Saccharomyces cerevisiae S288C: one gene and its partners. The protein of the gene in region 4 purifies or fractionates together with the protein of the main gene of each other region. This does not show direct contact. Each region holds a gene or a part of one and is shown on either strand. Other genes may lie near its edges.

Region 1 (4,950 bases), on a different chromosome or scaffold from region 4:
ATACCTGGCTCTAGAAGAGCATTAATTGCTAATGGTGTTTTTGACTCGATATCATCAGGAATTCTTATTTATACTGGACTAGTCGAATTAATGGCTCATGAATTCTTATACTCTAATCAATTCAAAGGACCTGATGGCCTCAAAAAAATGCTTAGTGCATATCTCATCATGTGTTGTGGAGCTGCTTTAATGGCTCTTCTAGGGAAATGGGCATAGTATCTCACGTATATTTTGTTAGATTAGATAGTTATTCATTATCAAAAAAAAAAAAATGCATGACCTATAATTTTACAACTGCTCTGCAGAGACGAGAGACATCTCGCAAAAAACAGCATATGTCAGCGACCAATAAGTATAAAAAACACATATTCCGTTATTTGGATATGCCCATTATTACCGAAGGGCAATCGGAATGACAATTTTTATGATTGGAATTGTATAATATACAGATAATTTAATCTATCCTTTTGAAGTGTGAAAAGGGCAGAGTAATGCCGGTATTATGTAGGATAATAGTTTTATTATATAACGGTCCCGAAAACTCTCTTCCTTGCACTATTACTCTCTTTCTCCTGTTGGTCATATTCGTCAACGAATTCGTAGTTATGCCTTAGATTCCATTGTTGCTTGACGAATTTCAACCCTTGAACATTAAAGCCTAGATCATCCTCGGTAGATTTTAATGCACTTCTTAATTCAGTCTTTACTCTATTTATTTGCAATTTCAATTCTTCATTTTTCTGAGAAACCAATTCTTTATGATTAAATTTGATAATGAAAAATAAATTCTTGCAAATTAATGGTAAGTGAGAGTGCAGCAAAGTTTTGTTTTGCATAACGGTATCAATAAATTTTAAAAATTTGAGGACATATGAGAATGGCATAACCATCAGTGCATCTTCTAACTGAGACATTCTTATTCTTAACAGGGTATCCATAATATATTGCTCAGGAGTTTTATTCACAGCAATTAGAACAGCGTTACCCTGTGGTTTTATTGGCGCTTCACCCAACTTCTTTCTTTGCCATAGCTTCATATCTCTGTTATATGCCTCTAAACCTTCAATCTCAGCAATTCCTAAATCTAGCGCCTCCATAAGTCTTTCACCAGCCTTTAACGATTCTAAAGTCTGTTTATGAACACCGGATGCTTCATCTTCAACGCCTTCACCCGATGCATCAGCTTTAAATGCATCATCACCGTTTCCTTCTTCCAAAGAAGTTAGCAATGTATCCTCGTACTGTTCTTCAAGTTCTTTCTCCTTTTCCTCTTCTAAAAATACCTGGTCCTCGGTTTCTTCCCAGATTCTTATACTGTGATCATGGGATGAAGAAACAACAAAGCCGCCATCAGTAGCAACCGCCAAAGCCCAAACTTCGCTCTGATGAGCGTATAGTTTTTGAATGCATTCAAATTTCTCGCCATCCCAATATTTCACCACTGCGTCTTTAGAACAACTAAAGAAGTTGTGAGACTGTGGTAAGAATTTAACGTTCATAATCGAATCCTGATGGGCAAATAAAGACTTGTGACAGTCACCAAAATCTAAACCCCAAATCTTGATATTTTTGTCTGCGGAAGACGTAATAATCATCTTAGAATCAAATGAAATATCGATAGATAGTACAGGTAATTTGTGCCCATATAAACTTAGGTAAAACTTCATTGAGTCCAAAAAGAATACCTTAACAGTATTATCCAGCAACGAGATGGCTAGATATCTATCGTCAGGAGAAACCCGTACACATAAAATGTCGTCAGTTAATTCCAAAGTTGTATCATGGTGCAGTTTTAAAACAGGCAGGAATTTGTTCTTGGTACCTGGCACTAGGCTATTTTCAACTTTGAAATCCCAAAACTTGACAGTTTTATCGGCAGATCCGGTCACTAATCGTTTACCATCTGAGGTCAGATCTAGCGACCAAATTGCCGCATCATGTGCATCTTCAATGGTATCCAAAAGACTTGATGATGCTAGATCAAAGAGCTGTAACTCCCCGTTTCTTGTACCCAGTATGACTAGTAGCCCACCTGGCAAAAACTTACAAGTTAATGCATACCCACATTCGAAAGTTCTGATACATTTATGTGTTTTGATATTCCATATTTTCAATGAACCATTGGATGCTGTGGCAAGTAATTTGTTATCATCACTGATGTCAATACTACGCACATCCGTTCTTTGCCCTTGCAATTCAATAGTATGTGTCTTGAGAGGAGCAGGGCTTGTTGGGTCTCTTTTTTCATATGGAATGGAATAATACTCTATGGTATTACTCGATGTAGTTAATACCAACTCAAGTTTGGAACTTGAGACCGTTGTCCATGATGCAGATTTTATTTTATACAATGATCTTATGGTTTGAAAAGGATGCAATATAAAGGAGGAGTAGGATTCTTTAATAGATTTTGCAATTTCTTCTTCTGTCAACCCCTTTTCTTTTAGCCTCTTCTCTCTTTTCTTTAAACCTCTTGCTATTTCTTCTTCTTTTCTAATTCTGAAAGTCTCGATGGTTTTATCAGCATTTTGGATGTAAAAAAAAGAGGTTTTGTCAGACGAATTTGTTATGAACTCAATCTTTAACCCACGTTGCTTACTTTGCTTTTCGAAAATACCCATCTCTGTTAGTTTCCCCCCCATTTTGTCATTTTCTATATCCAGTTTCCAAATTTTTACTTGACTATCAGTACCAGTTGTGATCAGTAAATCATCCTTCACTGCAAGGCCCCAACACTCTCCAGTATGCGCAATATGTGTCTCTATACATTGATGTGTTTTTAGGTCCCATAGCTTGATCATTCCATCTTTGGAGGTGCTGATCAGCCAATCTTCTCCTTGACACCAAAAGCCAGTAATGGAATCCTTGTGTGATCTAAGTTTATAAAGACCAACTTCTCCAACAAGATCCCATACAATGATATTGGAGTCCTTGGAACCAGAAATTAATCTTGTGCCAGTCCCATCAAATTGTAATAATGTTATAGCTGCTTTGTGACCGTTAAAATTCAAAAGCACAGTCTTAGACATCAAATCCCAAACTTTAATGACACCATCTGCGTAACCGACAGCTAATAAATCCGTATCTTTATGAGCCTCCAAATATGTACACTCGGCTGGCTTGGCGCCTCTAGCATCAGATGCGCCTGGAGGTAAGCCATCGGATAATTTACTGACCAAATCCCCGGTCTTAATATCCCATATATTAACGTCCTCGAGAGCACTCGTAATCAATTGTCCTGGTCCACTACCATTACTATTTCCGGATGACGCAGGTATCCAAACACAATTGGCATTGGAGGCTATTACACCAAAAGCAGCTGCTTGCTCAAAACGTTGGTATGATTTGACCATAATAGCTCTTATTCCAGTTTCTCTGGTCCTTCTAGTGGCTACTCTGATATACGTACGACCTTATACAATATCTACATCTATATTATGAGGGAACTGAAAATTTCTGAAAAATTTTCCACTGCTCATCGCGTTTTTTATTTCCGCCTTATTCCCATCTATCTTAGAAGGGTAACGTATTCCATGCAATATTAAACAGCATACCCTTAAGTATATGAAAGGATGTTTATTGCTGATCCTGTAAGCACTCATAGAACTCATCGATAATAAATGGCCAGGCTGCAGTTTCGTCGTAATCGCTTATTATTTTCTGAATAGTGGGGTATCGTTTGAAAAAGAGGAGCAGCATACGCCAGGTGTCTTTACTTATAGTGGTTTTCCCCTCATCGCGAAGGAAACGGAACCATGCCTCAAGCAAATCTGGTTCCATACGCACTGGGTACTCTGGTTGGAAAAATAGCTTCCAATACTGGATGCCTTCGTCTGTATCTATATCCTTTCGATTTGGGTCCAGAATCAAATTGAAAGCATAGTTATAAATCTGTGTGAAATATTGTAAGTCTTCATGTAATTTAACATCTAACGTCTTGATGCACTCTTGCATGTCTGAAATGGTGGAACAGCCTTGCATAAACCATGTTGACAGGAAGTCCTCTCGTTTTAAGGGTTCTTCTAGTTTCTTGTACCCCAGTAAATGGGCTAAGCATAATGTCGCTAAATCTTCAAGATTGTAGCCTAGCTCCTCAATGAACTTGACCAGTGAGTCTATATCAAACAAGTTGTTATTGATATAGTGTTCAAATACCTGTGTTAGCTCCTTCGGGTATACGGGTGGATGAGCCACAGTTGAAACCTCGTCAGTAAACGTCCCTATTTCCTTGTCATAATAATCATTGAGAGCGTAATTGATGTTCCAGTGATTACGCTGCAGGTACTTCCTGGATACCTTGGGGTCACATTTGGTTAATGAGGTGAATGATTCAATTGCCTCTTGTTCCGGGCTTGCATCCTTTCTTTTTATTTTATTATTACTCTATAATGATGCATCACATTTGAGCGCCCCTTGCCAATAAAGTGTTAGTACTTTGAAGAGCCTGAGAACTAAAGAAACGAAATTAAAAACATACCATGTCCTGAATGCAAGAACGTCTCTTCAAAAATTTCTTTTTTTATTGGGTACTTGCATGTTACTGCGTAAGTTCATTAGTTGCATCTAAATTTTCAAACCTTTGGTTACAAAAACAGTAATAGACAAAAGAGCCAAAATATCGAAAACTAGACGAAAGCCAGACTTAGCGGGACTGTAAATATTTATGGCTTATAGTTAAGGTTTTTCCATCATGTCATTTCAGATTACCCCAACTCGAGATTTGAAAGTTATTACAGATGAGTTACAAACACTTTCCTCATACATCTTTCACACAAACATAGTCGATGATTTGAACTCTTTACTTACATGGATGAGCCCTAATGATGCCAAGAGTAACCATCAACTACGTCCTCCAAGCCTTCGTATTAAGAATATCATTAAGGTTCTCTTCCCTAATAACGCAACCACATCGCCATATAGCATGATAAACACTAGTCAGGCAAACAATTC
Region 2 (3,659 bases), on a different chromosome or scaffold from region 4:
ATTGACAAAGACTCTTTATGGTCTGTATTCTTTTCTTGAAAAACTGGAATAGGTTTCATACCCAGCTTTTCCCTTATTTCATTTGTCTCCTCAATAGAAAGGTTTTCCGTTTTGTTCATAAATTAATTAAGGGTTGATGTGATGATTGCCTTTTTATTAATATCAAATAGTAACGATTGCACCATCTCATCCTTTGCTCACTTTCAAAAATTTTGTATATCTTTTTCGTCCCGCGAATAATTTTAAGTTGCGCAGTTCACGATATGAATACCTATAACTGCTAATGGTACAAATTTTTTAAAGGTTAAACAAAACTTTTAATGATATAAAGTACCTAAAACTATGTAAACATAAATTATGTATACTATTTCAAATATATCACCTAAAAAAAATAATAAGTTCAATTCAATATGGGCGTACAGCACTAATTTACAGATTATGGAATAAAATATGAAATGAGAAATAGGTTAAGCATTGGATAATTATAGAAAATTTTCTAAATCCAAATAAAAGGGAACGCGAGGGGTCACTAATTATTAAAATGTAAAATGCATCCTTATTTCTTCTCTTTCTTCTCTTTCTTGGACTTCTTTTCCTTCTTCTCTTTCTTCTCTTTCTTCTCCTTCTTTTCCTTCTTTTCCTTCTTTTCCTTCTTGTCCTTCTTTTCCTTCTTAGCTTTTTTAGAATCCTTGGAATCTTCATCATCGTCTCTCTTTCTCTTCTTTTCTTTCTTTTCTTTCTTTTCTTCCTCTTCATCATCAGAATCGGATTCAGAATCAGAAGCAGCCTTTGCGGTATCAGCATCTGCATTGTAGGCCCTAGCTTCAGTCATTTCCACCTTCTTAGCCTCACGAACAACCTTTGGAGTAGTTCTTAAATCTCTACCTTCTAATTGGGATAATCTATTTTCTACTTTGGCTCTTGATTCTAGACCAATGTCACCTGAATCGTCTCTATCTTCAGCTAAAGCATCATAACGCAATGAGACAGCGGCCTTAGCAGCCAGAACTCTTGCAATCTTACCTTTGTTCTTACCAGTAGCTTGACCAACAAGAGAGGCATGATATAGCAAACCATACTTTGGTGTATCATGCTTGGTCTTTAAAGCTCTGAATAAAGCCTTTTCGGCACCTAATATTTGGATGGTAGAAGCTGGTGATTTGGCCAAGGAAATTAAGGAACCTGAATGAGCGATAAGTCTAGCACCAACTAATTCACCAACCAACTGAGTCAAGTTTGGAGCAATAGCCTTCATTCTTGCAGACAAGTAATTGGACAACTGTTCTCTGTAAGCGGCAAATTCGACTATTTGTTCAGCTAAAGCATTAATGTTGTCTAGATCGGTTTGAGTGATTTCAGTACCCATAGACACTTCAGCAGCGGTTTTGACACGTTCTTCAATCTCTTCTGGTAAGATTTCACTCAAATCTGTTTCAGAAGCCTTGGATCTGATACCCATTGTTAGAATAATTCTCGCATAAGCGACGGAATCAGTAACAATCTTAGCTAACTCAGGAAAGTGCCACCCGTACCATTCTTTACATCTCATGGCATATGTGTTTAATTCTTTATCTAAATCATCCAATAAAGCAATTGCTTGAATAATCATAACATCAACTTTGTCAGCAGAAAATTTTAATTTGTGACGACCGATGGAATGAGCTAAACCCAAAGACATCTTGCTTAGATCATTATCAGACATACCTGGCAGCAATTCTGGCAAATATTCTTTGATAGCTCTATAGATATCTAAGGTTACAGCATCGGAAACAACATTGAAGTTCAATCCCAACTTATTAATAGCGTTTGCCAGTTTAGTTTCACTAACAATCAAGGTCGACTTCTTGTCCTTTTTAATTTCTTCCAGAAGTTTTTCTAATTGGGAAGAAACTTTACCTTCAATAATGGAGTTGGCTTCCTCTAAAGCGTTAGCTGCAGAGTTGAACTTGGAAAAGGCGGCGATCTTGAATTCCTTCAAGACTTTGTCAGAGCTATCCAAGTCTTGAATTAAGCTTGAAGATTTGTAGATTTTCTTATCGGAAGCTTTTAAAAGAGCATAACCAGCTGAAGTTTCAGTTAAAACGTAAGCCATTGTATGAGGAGGTTGAGGTTCTACAGCTAATTTGGTATCGACTGCTATTTCAAAAATAACTTATATGCGAAATTTTTGCGAAAGCATAAATAATTCTTGCTTTTCTGAAAATTTTCGATGAGGTTGAAAAATTTTCCAAATTTCTTTTTTTCTGTTCTAACGTACACAATGATATCAATATCAATAAGGCCACTGGGCGGTAATCGCAGATAAACCATATATCCTTGAGATGCCAAGATAAATGAACGCTGGTTCAGGATCTTGGTAATCGTATTTCGCAGGATTGTTCTTTTTTATTGTTCTCTGATATGATTGCTTTGTGACAAAGTTGGGGCATGAAAAAGCCTTTTTTTACTGATGAAAATATGGTGTAGGTTTACGATTAAATAATAATGTTGCGCCCCATTTGGATGCGCTTGTTGGCACATATATTAGTAACATAAATGTTTTCATAAAACTGCTTGTGTCGAATGTTTCTAATGGCGTGAAAAATACGGAAATACTGCTGAATAATTTACACAGGTTCTAACTCTATACTCGGATATGTAGGATATTTAGAAAAATAATTTGTGGATGCCAAAGATCGAAGAGGTGCTGGATCGTTAACCACAGATAAACTGAATCGCGCACTCCAGTTACTGTAAAAAAGACTTACCGAAGAATATAAAACACTCCTGTTTTTGGTATATATGCTTTTATTTCTTGAATGTTTTGATTACTGCGTTCATAAAAAGTGATGACAGGACAGGAATAGTGAAATTATCATCCCAGTTGAACAAATCTATACCTTCACTCAAAGCAGCTACCACACCACCTAACAAGGATAGCATATTCAAACTTAATCTGCTTGTTTCTGGGCTCCATTGGATCTCGCCAGGTTTGTTGACGTAGCTGTAGGCAGGAACAAAATAGCCATAAAATACCCAGCAGGTGATAACACCAACTGTAAACGCAGCTATCGAACCTGCAAGGGATTTATTTCTTGCCACTTTGGGTGTTAAATGACCATACTTTCTTCCAATAGTTGCGGCGGCTGTATCGGACCAACTTAGCAAAAATAACGATATTAAGGTAACATCTTTAGAGAAAAAGTTAAAAGAAAAGATTAACCCAAGAATGTACCACAATACCCCATTGTATGTATGAATCTCCTTTTTTCTCATTAGCGCACCCACAGTTCTACAGTAAAGCATATTGAAAAAGGGCCAGTTTAGTCTTATCAGATCCAAAATAAACAATATGATGAAGGCGTATATCAAAGGCCATAAAACATTTTTATAATTAATACCCTGCGTATACAGGTACAAAGTAATAAAGCCAATGGAAGAATGGAACACCTTACGGGGAATTTCATGTTTAGTTATAAAATCGCCGAACCATTCATGAGATTTCAAATGTATTTCTGTCACTGGAACGTGTGCATCGTCATCGCTACTACTAATTTCTTCTTTTGCTGGAATCGTTACTTTCGCCGAGACTTGATGACTCTTAGATGATAGTCTTTGCTTAGCTTCGGTACGCGGCTCTAGCGTGCTATTTGGAAGGGCAATGGCATCTTCGGTCCCCA
Region 3 (4,836 bases), on a different chromosome or scaffold from region 4:
GTGAATCTTCATTATCGTTAAACCCATGCTCAACATCTAAATGTGCATTTAGTGCTTGTAAGTTATCAAACTTCCTTAGACAAATGGGACATGAAACATTTTCAAGATCCATAATAGATAAGTCGCCAGGAAATTCGGTGATATCCCTTTAAAAACCATGAGATCCGGCTTTGCTCTTTAGGTCGGTCAATTTAGCTACTGATCATATGTTTTCATTATTCTATTGTTTTCCCAAAGTATTACCCTGCCTGGAAATAACAGTGATAGCCAGAGTGATTCCATCGCCAGTACTTTTGTAATTCAGGAATACATTTATACCAATAAATGGCTCACATTTAATGTCTGCATACGTGATTACTACATATATATGTCTGCGTATGTGCTTGGCTATTTTACATTAGCGAGTTTCTATAAAGTACTAACGCCATTAGAGTTTTTTGTAACTGAAAAATGCCCTTAGAGTATGATAGCCTTTTAATAGCATCTCTCTATTCTTCGGTATGTTGACTTAAATTAATCAAAACACTAACTTTGGTTGAATAAACGCCTTTTGTTTGGAGTGAAAAGTTAATGGATTTCTTTCAATTATTGCCAATTCATTACTAGAAATTAAGTCAACAAACAGTAAAGGTTTATATTTATCAGTAAAGAAGAAGTGACCGGAGCTTTCTTCGTTTCTTTGTACATCTGTGGACTTTATTTTGTTTCCTTGGTTTAATAATACATTCAAGTTTTCGCTGATTTCCATATCAATATCGTCATCTTCGTCATCTTCCTCGTCGTTCATGAAATTACTTTCATCTGTGATAGTTAGCCCTTCGTGTGTACGTTTTTTCTGTTTTCTTCTCTTATTTATAGGGAAGTCAACATCAAAGTCTATTCTTGATATCCAAGTAGCCCCCCAAAACCATAATCTGCTACTATTTTCTATGTCTGAAAATATCCCTACACAGTTCTCTTTTAATGTCTTCCATTCTTTTGGTAAGTTATCCGTATTGTTTTTTGACCATTGAGTTAATACGCTTTCGCTATCTTCATTCTCGGCTTCCGAATTCAAATTCATATTGAATTCATAAATCTTATTGTCTGCAGTAATTACTACTACAGATTTTCTAGAAGTATTGATATGAACAGCGGTGATGAAATTATTCAAACGAGCAAGTGGTTTAGAAATCCTTGCTTTTAAGTCTAATATGTCTACGACTCCACAGCCACGAGAAATTACTGCAATGTTCTGGTCTACTTCCAAATGGTTGATCCTGTTAATATAGGGAACTTTGATACTGCTCTTAGTTGAAGTAACCTCCAAAAGTTCAACTTCTTGCGGTTTTTCATCTTCTTCAGATTCTAGATCCACAATAAATACATCATCTTCGCAAGAGCATATGACAATTTTGGAATTATCGATGAACTTGACTAATTTTGTGGAAGTTCTCAATAATAGGTCATTATCTAGTTTAGTCACTTTCAATTTATTACCTACGGGCTGTAAATGAAAAACTTTAGTGGTAGAGGGCCTCCCTACGACTAAAACTTGTCCATCAGGTGATAAAGAACAAGTTGAGATATTCTGGTCATCTTTTAAAGTTAACTTGCAAACTAGCTTATAATTCTGTTCTGTACTAGAATCGGTTCCCATTGTCCATATCTTAACAGTAGATTCGCTCCATGAAACAACAAGGCGTTGCTCTTTGTTAACTAAAACATTCTTTGAATAAGGTTCGACAGTTGGCATCTTCCTGTAGTTTCCATTAGAAAAAGAAGTAAGTGAGTTGATGACTAGTGTTTTTTCAACACCTCCTGAAACTAGAAAATCTGCACCTTTAGATTGGTATGCACATATTGCTCTAATGTCGTTTCCATGAAGCAACCTATTAGAAGAATTTACCCATCTGTTGTTCTTTTGAGATTTGTTAGTGTTTTGAGAAAATTGAAAGATTTTTCTGTCCACACCAGCACTAAAAACATAATTATTATCAGTATCGGTAGTTAGACACAGTACGTCTGCATCGTGCGCCTTAAATGACTGGTTTAGCGTGGCAAACTGGAAATCCCAGAATTTAATGGAGCCTGTAGAATCACCAGAGGCAATCTGATCAGTTCTTGGTAAATATATAACTGACCAAACTAGAGTTGATTCTTTTTTGGCCTTGTCGACCTTCATAGTGTGTAATAGACGACCCATGTTTTCGTCATTTTTTTGTGCAGACCAAATCCTTATTCTACCATCAGAACAACCACCAATCACGAAGTCATCCTTTTTCCAAGCCAAAGTCAATACTCTGGCTTCTTGTCTCATCAAAATAGTATCGTGTTCCAAGACACCAGGCCCGCCAGAGATATCTATGAGGACCACCGTCCCATTATCGCAACCCACAGACAGCTTGTCTTGTGAATCGTTGATGGAAATAGACCATATCACACCTGAATTGCAATCATAGTTTCTTAATGGTAAACCTGTTGCTAAATCCCATTCTGTTACCACAGTCGAGCCGCCAATAGAAAATAGCCTTAGAGACTCGCCGTTAACGTTGCTCCAGCAAAGGCCTTCAATTGATCTGTCTTTGCCACCTTCGATAACCATTTCCTGAAACCAATTGTTTCTAGGATTCCAGATTTCTATGTTACCATTAGATCTACCAATAGCTAATCTCAAATCGGACGGAGTTAACTTATTTATATTTGATTTATGTGAAAATGCTAGAGATGTGATTGTGGCAGGAGTGAAATCCACAAATCTGCATCTATGCACTATCATCCTTTCCTGACTGGTCATCTTCACCGGTTTGTTTCGTATTTTCAGGCTTCTTGACTTTTCTTTTAAAACTGAAAGTAGCGATGAGCTCATTCGTAGCTTTTTTCTTGTCAGTCTGAAAATTTTTCATTTGGTTTTTTGAAAAAAATCCTGCCTAATATGGTATCAAGAGGAATAACAAGAAAAAAAAATCATGGGGGATACAAAGGAAAACAAGGAGATAATGCAGGTTATACTGAATTGCTCATAGTATTAGCCTAAAGCACTTTACCTCTGATTTATTGCATCTATCGTATTCTTGAGTTATTGCGACTTTTAAAATCCGTGCACCGCATATGAAAGGGTAGAGCCTTCGTGTTTGTTTACCTTTTTAGCTCTTTGAAGATCAAACAAAAACACTTCAGTAATGCCTACAGCCTTGGATAAGACAAAGAAGTTAACAGGCCGCGCCCATCATGCAAGATCCTGATGGTATTGACATTAATACGAAAATCTTTAACTCAGTTGCTGAAGTATTTCAAAAGGCACAGGGTTCTTATGCAGGACACAGGAAGCATATAGCAGTTTTGAAGAAAATTCAGTCAAAGGCTGTTGAGCAAGGCTATGAAGATGCTTTTAACTTTTGGTTCGATAAATTAGTTACTAAGATCCTTCCTCTGAAAAAGAATGAGATTATCGGAGACAGGATAGTAAAGTTAGTAGCTGCATTTATAGCTTCTTTAGAAAGGGAGTTGATATTGGCCAAAAAACAAAACTATAAGCTCACGAATGATGAAGAAGGGATATTCTCAAGGTTCGTCGATCAGTTCATAAGACATGTTTTGCGTGGTGTGGAAAGCCCTGACAAGAACGTCAGATTTAGAGTTTTACAGTTATTAGCCGTTATAATGGATAATATAGGGGAAATCGATGAATCACTTTTCAATTTATTAATATTGTCTTTAAATAAGAGGATTTATGATAGAGAACCAACGGTTAGGATACAGGCTGTGTTTTGTTTAACTAAATTTCAGGATGAAGAGCAAACTGAACATTTAACTGAGCTTTCTGATAATGAAGAAAATTTTGAAGCTACGAGAACTCTAGTTGCTTCTATCCAGAACGATCCGTCAGCTGAAGTACGGAGGGCTGCAATGCTGAATTTGATCAATGATAATAATACTAGACCGTATATCTTGGAGAGGGCTAGAGATGTAAACATCGTTAATAGAAGGCTCGTGTATTCGAGAATTTTGAAATCAATGGGAAGAAAGTGTTTCGATGATATTGAGCCGCATATTTTTGATCAATTGATTGAGTGGGGTTTAGAAGATAGGGAATTATCAGTGAGAAATGCGTGTAAGAGACTCATTGCTCATGATTGGTTAAATGCTCTGGATGGCGATTTGATAGAATTACTAGAAAAATTGGATGTCTCAAGATCCTCAGTGTGTGTTAAGGCTATAGAAGCACTTTTTCAATCAAGGCCAGATATATTATCTAAAATCAAATTTCCTGAAAGTATTTGGAAAGACTTTACCGTAGAAATTGCCTTCCTCTTTCGGGCTATTTATTTGTACTGTTTGGATAATAATATAACAGAAATGCTGGAAGAAAACTTTCCAGAAGCCTCAAAATTATCCGAGCATTTAAACCATTATATTCTTCTCAGATATCATCACAACGACATTTCTAATGACTCTCAGTCGCATTTTGATTATAACACTTTAGAGTTTATTATTGAGCAACTATCGATTGCCGCCGAAAGGTATGATTATAGCGATGAGGTTGGAAGGAGATCGATGCTTACAGTGGTACGAAATATGCTGGCCTTAACTACACTCTCCGAACCTCTTATTAAAATTGGTATTCGTGTAATGAAAAGTCTGTCCATAAATGAAAAAGATTTTGTAACAATGGCAATAGAAATCATTAATGATATTAGAGACGACGATATTGAAAAACAAGAACAAGAAGAGAAAATAAAAAGCAAGAAGATTAATCGCAGAAATGAGACTTCCGTCGATGAAGAGGACGAAAACGGCACACATAATGACGAAGTTAACGAGGATGAAGAAGACGACAATATTTCATCCTTCCAT
Region 4 (5,919 bases):
TACTTTCAGTACTTTTAAAGCTCCTCGAGCGTAAAGGTCGGATTTTCTCAGCGGGCTCATCGTCACTATATTGGAAGCGTCGTGTTGTGTTTACATTAGGACGACTGCTATAAGATGGACGTGGTGATCCTGACACAGAACTGCCCATCCAATGGTTCCCTCGTGGAGTATCATTAAACACGTTATATCTGTGCTCCATTATACAAGCCTCCTGATAAACGTATCTGGTATGATAAATCTATAATCCGTTTTGAATTGGTTCGATGAGTTTCCTCTTATTATGTCTTAAGCAATTCTTACTTTTGTTCAATAAAAAAAACGTATAAAGTTATTGACTACGTATATAATGACATAAAATACATAGTGCTATAGAACATAATGTTTTGAATTATGAAGGAAGTTAACATTAAGTGGTTGCAATTATTTGATGCCCTAGATAGGAATAATGTATTCTTCCTATATGTTCTTATATAATGAAACTCTATTTCTATAATACCAGCGCATTATTTTTTTTCTTTCTCTTCACCTGTGATGGTCTGGAAGCCCTTTCTGGTGATAAACTTAATGACTGTCCACTGGCCTTTTTGCTTCTTCTGATGCACTGCTATAGGATTTAAATCCCAACCAATCTTGAGATCGTTGTCAACTGTGGATCCAAATCTAGGAACCACATAACAATACCGTTCCGTAGGTGATAAATTAACGGTCTTCAAGCCTTGACCAGTCAGAGGTTTACTGTATGTCAAAAGAAGTCCCTTTCTTGCTATGTTCGCTAAGGGGGTGCTTGCGATGTCACATAAAGTATTCATCCTTGTTTTATTATTTCCACCAAGGTGCAAGGAATAATAGAGCATGTATTTGGGTGGCATTTCCCCCAAATTATTTAAAATTGAAGTCGGATGGATATAGACAAAGCAGTCCTCGATATTTGGTGTTCTCGTGGCCAAAACAGGAATATAAGGAATGTTGATTATGGAAGTTCTGTTGGTTATCTTAGCATCATCTGGAAATAAAACATCTGCTCTTACGGCAACATGGTCGACAAAACCAGCGCAAATCATTTGTTTTAAAAGTTTTATTTGTATGACGCTTGGAATATCACTTTTCAAGTCTTCATTCCTAATTACTACGGCAATATTTTCTTTTGAAGTGTTGGACTTGATGATATACATTAACTGCTTCCTCAATTTTACTATTTCTTCCATTAGTTTGCCTCTTAAAAAATTTTTCTTCATGAATATTTCTTTTTGTTCCTTTGGAACGTAGTCCATTGCACTTACAACACTTAATAAACGGAATACGTCACTAAATTTGTCTAATTTACTAAACTGACTCCTGCTTTTATAGAATTTACTGCGCAATTCCTTTTTCAGTTCAGGATCCATACCTGGTGTTGATTCATCGTGCTCTCTAATCTTATCATCTAGATTTTCATCTGGATTTGGTTTTCTAGAAATTTCGTTTATTCCCAACTCAAATTCATTGATAAAAGGATCTCCCACCGAAAGGGCACTAACAATTGCTACAATATAAGGAAGGCAGGCTTTTTCGTCAGAAACAAGTAACATTTTGGAAAATCTGGGTGAAAGTGGGAACAGGCTCATTTTTTTACCATCTTCAGTAATCATCTCCTTATTATCAAGAGCACCTAAATATTGCAGTAATTGTATTGCCTTGGAAAGGGCAACTCTATCTGGAGGAGTTGGAAATGGAAAATTAATGATATTATGAATGGCCATGCTCTTCATTTGTAACACGATGCTCTCCACTGGCATTCTTAAGATTTCAGGTTTAGAGAACTGTTCGAAATCATGTTCAAAAACAGCAGACGAATATAAACGGTAACAATGGCCTGGTCCAGTACGACCTGCTCTACCGCTTCTTTGATTGGCACTAGCTTTACTTACCCAGCCCACTTCAAAACTCTGTACGCCATTTGATTCATTATATTTACGCTCTTTAGACCTCCCGGAATCAACAACATATCTAACTCCAGGTATAGTTAACGATGTTTCTGCAACATTTGTTGCAACAATACAAAGCCTAGAACCTTGAGGAGGTTTTTGAAAGACTCTCATTTGTTCCTTGGTTGGTAATAGAGAATACAGTGGAAGGACATATAAAGGATCGTTAGCTGTTTGCCCTTCAGTTAGGACTTCTTCAAACCCTTCTTCCTCTTCGTCTTCCTCATCTTCACCGTTTCCACTGTTACCTTCATCTTCTTCGTATCTTATCGCGCTCTTGAACTTATCTTGATCGATAACTTGTACACTGAAGTCTATATCCTCAGCCTCCAAATCTGTTGTTTTTGAATTGATACCCATTTTAGAAACGGGTGTTTCTAAATCTTTGTTGTACTTGGAGTTTTTCTTAAAAGGAAATTCCTTTCTTAGCCTTTTTACCATGTGTGTAATTTCCTGCTGACCGGTTAAAAACACCAATATAGCGCCAGGAGGAAGTTTCTGGTGAATTTTGCAAGTCTTTCTGAAAGCCTCGTCTGTATAGTTGAATGCAGTTCTACGATTAAAGTGAATAGAGACTGGAAACTGCCTTGCATCAACCTGTAAGACAGGGGGCGCTATGGGGAACAATGTTTTGTTTTCGCTGAAATCTGATACCCTTAATGTAGCTGACATGATGATGAGTTTTAGCTTCTTGTGCTCGATCGGGTTCTCCTTATGTAGTTTAGCTCTTAACCGAACACAACGGCTAAGCATACCGATCAAAATATCAGTGTTAATGTTTCTTTCATGTGCTTCATCTATGATAATGGAGGAATATTTAGTCAACTTGAAATCGTGCATCATTTCTCGTAGCAAGACACCATCTGTCATAAACTTGACCTTTGTGTCCTCCTTTGCGGTAGAGTCAAACCTAATTTGGTATCCTACTTTATGACCATGGTCCCCCAATTCATTAGCTACACGTTCAGCCATGGACACAGCGGCCACTCTTCTTGGTTGAGTGATACCCACCATTCCTGGGTAATCTGGAGAATCTTCGGCACCAAACCCAGCCTCATATAAAAATTGTGGGACTTGTGTAGTCTTACCTGACCCCGTTTCACCACAAATAATCACTACATCATTATGGTGAATAGCCTCCATAATTTTGTGTTCTTCACCAAATACTGGTAGTTGAATTCTTGCTTTCTGAATTTCATCTGATCTGCTAACTTCAACATAGAAGGCTTTACGGGTGGAATTCTCGTTTATTGGAACATAAGCTTCTTGGAGACCATCATCTAAATCTTCCTTTCTAATTATCGGTTTATAATCGATGTTCAAAGTGGGAGTAACTAGCTCTTGATCTCTACCTTCCAATTTTTTTATTTCTTGATTGGCCCAATCCTTGAATTCGTTAGCAACATCATTTTGGTCAAATTTTTCTGAGCCAGTTTCACTATCTGCGCTTTCAACTTCTTCGAGTGGGTTTTCACTAGGATGCATTTTGTCTTCTTCTTCCTGATCCTCCTCTTCGTCATCATCTTCAGATGTCGTGTCGAAATCCATTTCATCTTCTTTCCCATGCTTCTTCAATTCTTCCATTTCTACTCGTTGTCTCCAATTATATTTCTTCTTCGGAGTTTTGCTTTCTTTGTTTATGACTTTTATATTGCTAAACCCAAAGCTAAGACCAGATCCACCAAATTTTGCTGGTCTATGATCAATAAAACCTGATGATTTCTTCTCCTCATTGTCCGTTGGTTTCGGCATACTACCAAATGAAGCCTCGAAATCATCTTCGCCGTCATCATCCTCAGAGCTCCCTCCTTCACCATACTCATCCCAAACTTTTGGTTCATATTCTTCGTATAATATTTCATTTGTTTGTTCATTTCCTCTTCCTTGACGTTCTAAACTCAGTGCTTCTTTGAATTCTTCCTTTTTAGTCTGCCTGCCCTCTCCTAACCTTTTAGAGCTTGTCAACAAACTTGTATCTATCTTATAATCTTGAAGTTTACCAATAATTGTCTTTCTTTCCTCTCTTTTTAATTGATGTTCAATAAATTTATCCAGTCTTTTCTTCTTCAATCTCGAAACTTTCGATTCCTTTGGGGTAAATAACTCCTGTAGTTTTCTTTTCTTCATTTTCTTTTCTTCTTCAGTGAGAGGTTCAAGAATTTCCGCATTGGCATTTGGCTCCGTAGTAGAACTCTCAGCGGGAGCTGAATCTGGGTTTTCTACTCTTTCATCGTTTTCATCCTGTCTAGTGAACTGCTTATTCCTAATTCTTTTCAGTTCTTTTAATTTGGCCATATGGCCGGATCTGGCTTTTTCATTAAACCTTTTTCTGTAAGTACCCATACTTATATTTCTTAAGACACTCTATTATTAGTATTGGGTTGTAATTGCATTTTTATAGCATATAGCACTTGCTATTAACAATAATATACTAATACTATAATGAGCTTTCAATACTCAGCTCATCGCCAATGAAAATTTTCGGAACACCCAATCATCATGATATGTTAGGCGCGTAAATATGAAGAATAACAGAATCGTTAATCAGAAGAGATGATGAAATCATTAAGTCTTGTCCATATCGAACTGGATAGAGTATGTAGCGCTCTAAGAATCTGTTAAATTGAAGTTTGATTTTTTGATATTGGAGGCTCCTATTTTCTAGTTGCTTTTTGTTTTCACTCGCAAAAAAAATGGCAAGATCTTTAAGTCAATCACTCACAGCGACTACCCAGAAGCTAAAAGGAAAGAAGAATGGTGGAAAAGGCAAGAATAAGCCCTCAGCAAAAATTAAAAAAACTCAAAAAGAGATGCTATATGGAATACTGAACGAAAGGAACATAAGACAGATTCAGTTTGGACTGAATAAAAAATTCTCTACTTGGTATGGGAGCGCCGTTTATTTCGATCCTGAAACAAAAAGGCTAGGGTGCTCCGAGACCAAGGGTCAGCTTTCCTCTGTTTCTAACAGCCAATACTGGCTAGACACTCTTTTCGTTTGTGAATACTGCTTCAAATACACGGATGATCAGACGCGGTTTGTAGGACATGTTGCAAGTTGTCCATTTCAATATCGTGTTCCAGGCAAAATAAAATACAAGAGTCCTGAATATACAATAAGAAGAGTAAAAGGATCCAAGTATCAACTCTTTTGCCAATGTCTTTGTCTTTTCACTAAGCTATATCTGGACAATAAATCCATGTATTTCAAAGTAGATCATTATGAATTTTACATAGTTTATGAAACTGGATCAACAAAGCCGATGGGATTCTTTTCGAAAGATTTAGTGTCATATCAGCAAAATAATCTAGCGTGCATCTTGATATTTCCCCCATATCAACGACGTGGATTAGGCCTTTTACTTATCGAGTTTTCATACAAACTATCCCAATTAGAAGGTGTAATATCAGGGCCAGAAGTACCGTTATCACCTTTTGGACTAATCGGGTACTTGAAATATTGGTCACAGATACTCTGTTGGCACCTTATTGAAGGTGACCTCGCCCATTATGATAAAGTGACCCTGGAGGATCTTTCCATCGTGACTGGAATGAGAGTCAATGATGTTATTTTGACCTTGAAGCACTTGAACTGTATTGGGGAGAATAACCAAATTTACTTGCAGTCATTGAATAGCTGGTTGAAACTACATGGAACAAAACGGAATTGGTTCAAATTAAAAGATGAATATTTGCTGATAGATGACTAGGAATCTATTCAGGATGTAACTTAATGGCATATGTATTTCAGGATAGAATATCGCTCGATGAATTCCTGTACAGACAACTACAAACGGACGAATTTTGTCTGACCAAGTTAAGAACAGAGAACTAATGCATAAAATTTGTTTTGCTGCAAAAGTTTCCCTTTTTTTAGAGTATAAATATCTTTTATAGCAAAAGACTTAAAACAGGTTCACGTTTTTATTAGCCGTTTTTGGGCCGGTTTTTCGAT

Evidence for each region.
Region 1: the proteins of ECM16 (region 4) and DIP2 purify together in Saccharomyces cerevisiae (affinity purification with mass spectrometry; 5 studies listed by BioGRID). This does not show direct contact.
Region 2: the proteins of ECM16 (region 4) and NOP58 purify together in Saccharomyces cerevisiae (affinity purification with mass spectrometry; 7 studies listed by BioGRID). This does not show direct contact.
Region 3: the proteins of ECM16 (region 4) and UTP4 purify together in Saccharomyces cerevisiae (affinity purification with mass spectrometry; 6 studies listed by BioGRID). This does not show direct contact.

Annotation. Positions count from the first base shown.
Region 1 is NC_001144.5:398,060-403,009, reverse strand, and holds DIP2 (snoRNA-binding rRNA-processing protein DIP2), read right to left. Parts: upstream 3,354-4,950; coding exon 522-3,353; downstream 1-521. Other genes in the region: low-affinity Zn(2+) transporter ZRT2, read left to right, coding at 1-216; NEDD8 ligase DCN1, read right to left, coding at 3,577-4,383, 4,478-4,480; APC2 (anaphase promoting complex subunit 2), read left to right, coding at 4,691-4,950. UniProt on the Saccharomyces cerevisiae protein: Involved in nucleolar processing of pre-18S ribosomal RNA.
Region 2 is NC_001147.6:896,269-899,927, forward strand, and holds NOP58 (RNA-processing protein NOP58), read right to left. Parts: upstream 2,093-3,659; coding exon 557-2,092; downstream 1-556. Other genes in the region: U4/U6-U5 snRNP complex subunit SNU66, read right to left, coding at 1-119; DGK1 (diacylglycerol kinase), read right to left, coding at 2,788-3,659. UniProt on the Saccharomyces cerevisiae protein: Required for pre-18S rRNA processing. May bind microtubules.
Region 3 is NC_001136.10:1,113,916-1,118,751, forward strand, and holds UTP4 (small subunit rRNA maturation protein UTP4), read right to left. Parts: upstream 2,849-4,836; coding exon 518-2,848; downstream 1-517. Other genes in the region: PEP7 (phosphatidylinositol-3-phosphate binding protein), read right to left, coding at 1-112; condensin subunit YCG1, read left to right, coding at 3,211-4,836. UniProt on the Saccharomyces cerevisiae protein: Involved in nucleolar processing of pre-18S ribosomal RNA. Required for optimal pre-ribosomal RNA transcription by RNA polymerase I together with a subset of U3 proteins required for transcription (t-UTPs).
Region 4 is NC_001145.3:522,084-528,002, reverse strand, and holds ECM16 (ATP-dependent RNA helicase ECM16), read right to left. Parts: upstream 4,308-5,919; coding exon 504-4,307; downstream 1-503. Other genes in the region: POM152 (Pom152p), read right to left, coding at 1-199; SAS2 (histone acetyltransferase), read left to right, coding at 4,658-5,674. UniProt on the Saccharomyces cerevisiae protein: Probable ATP-binding RNA helicase. Required for 18S rRNA synthesis. May play a role in restructuring of the pre-rRNA.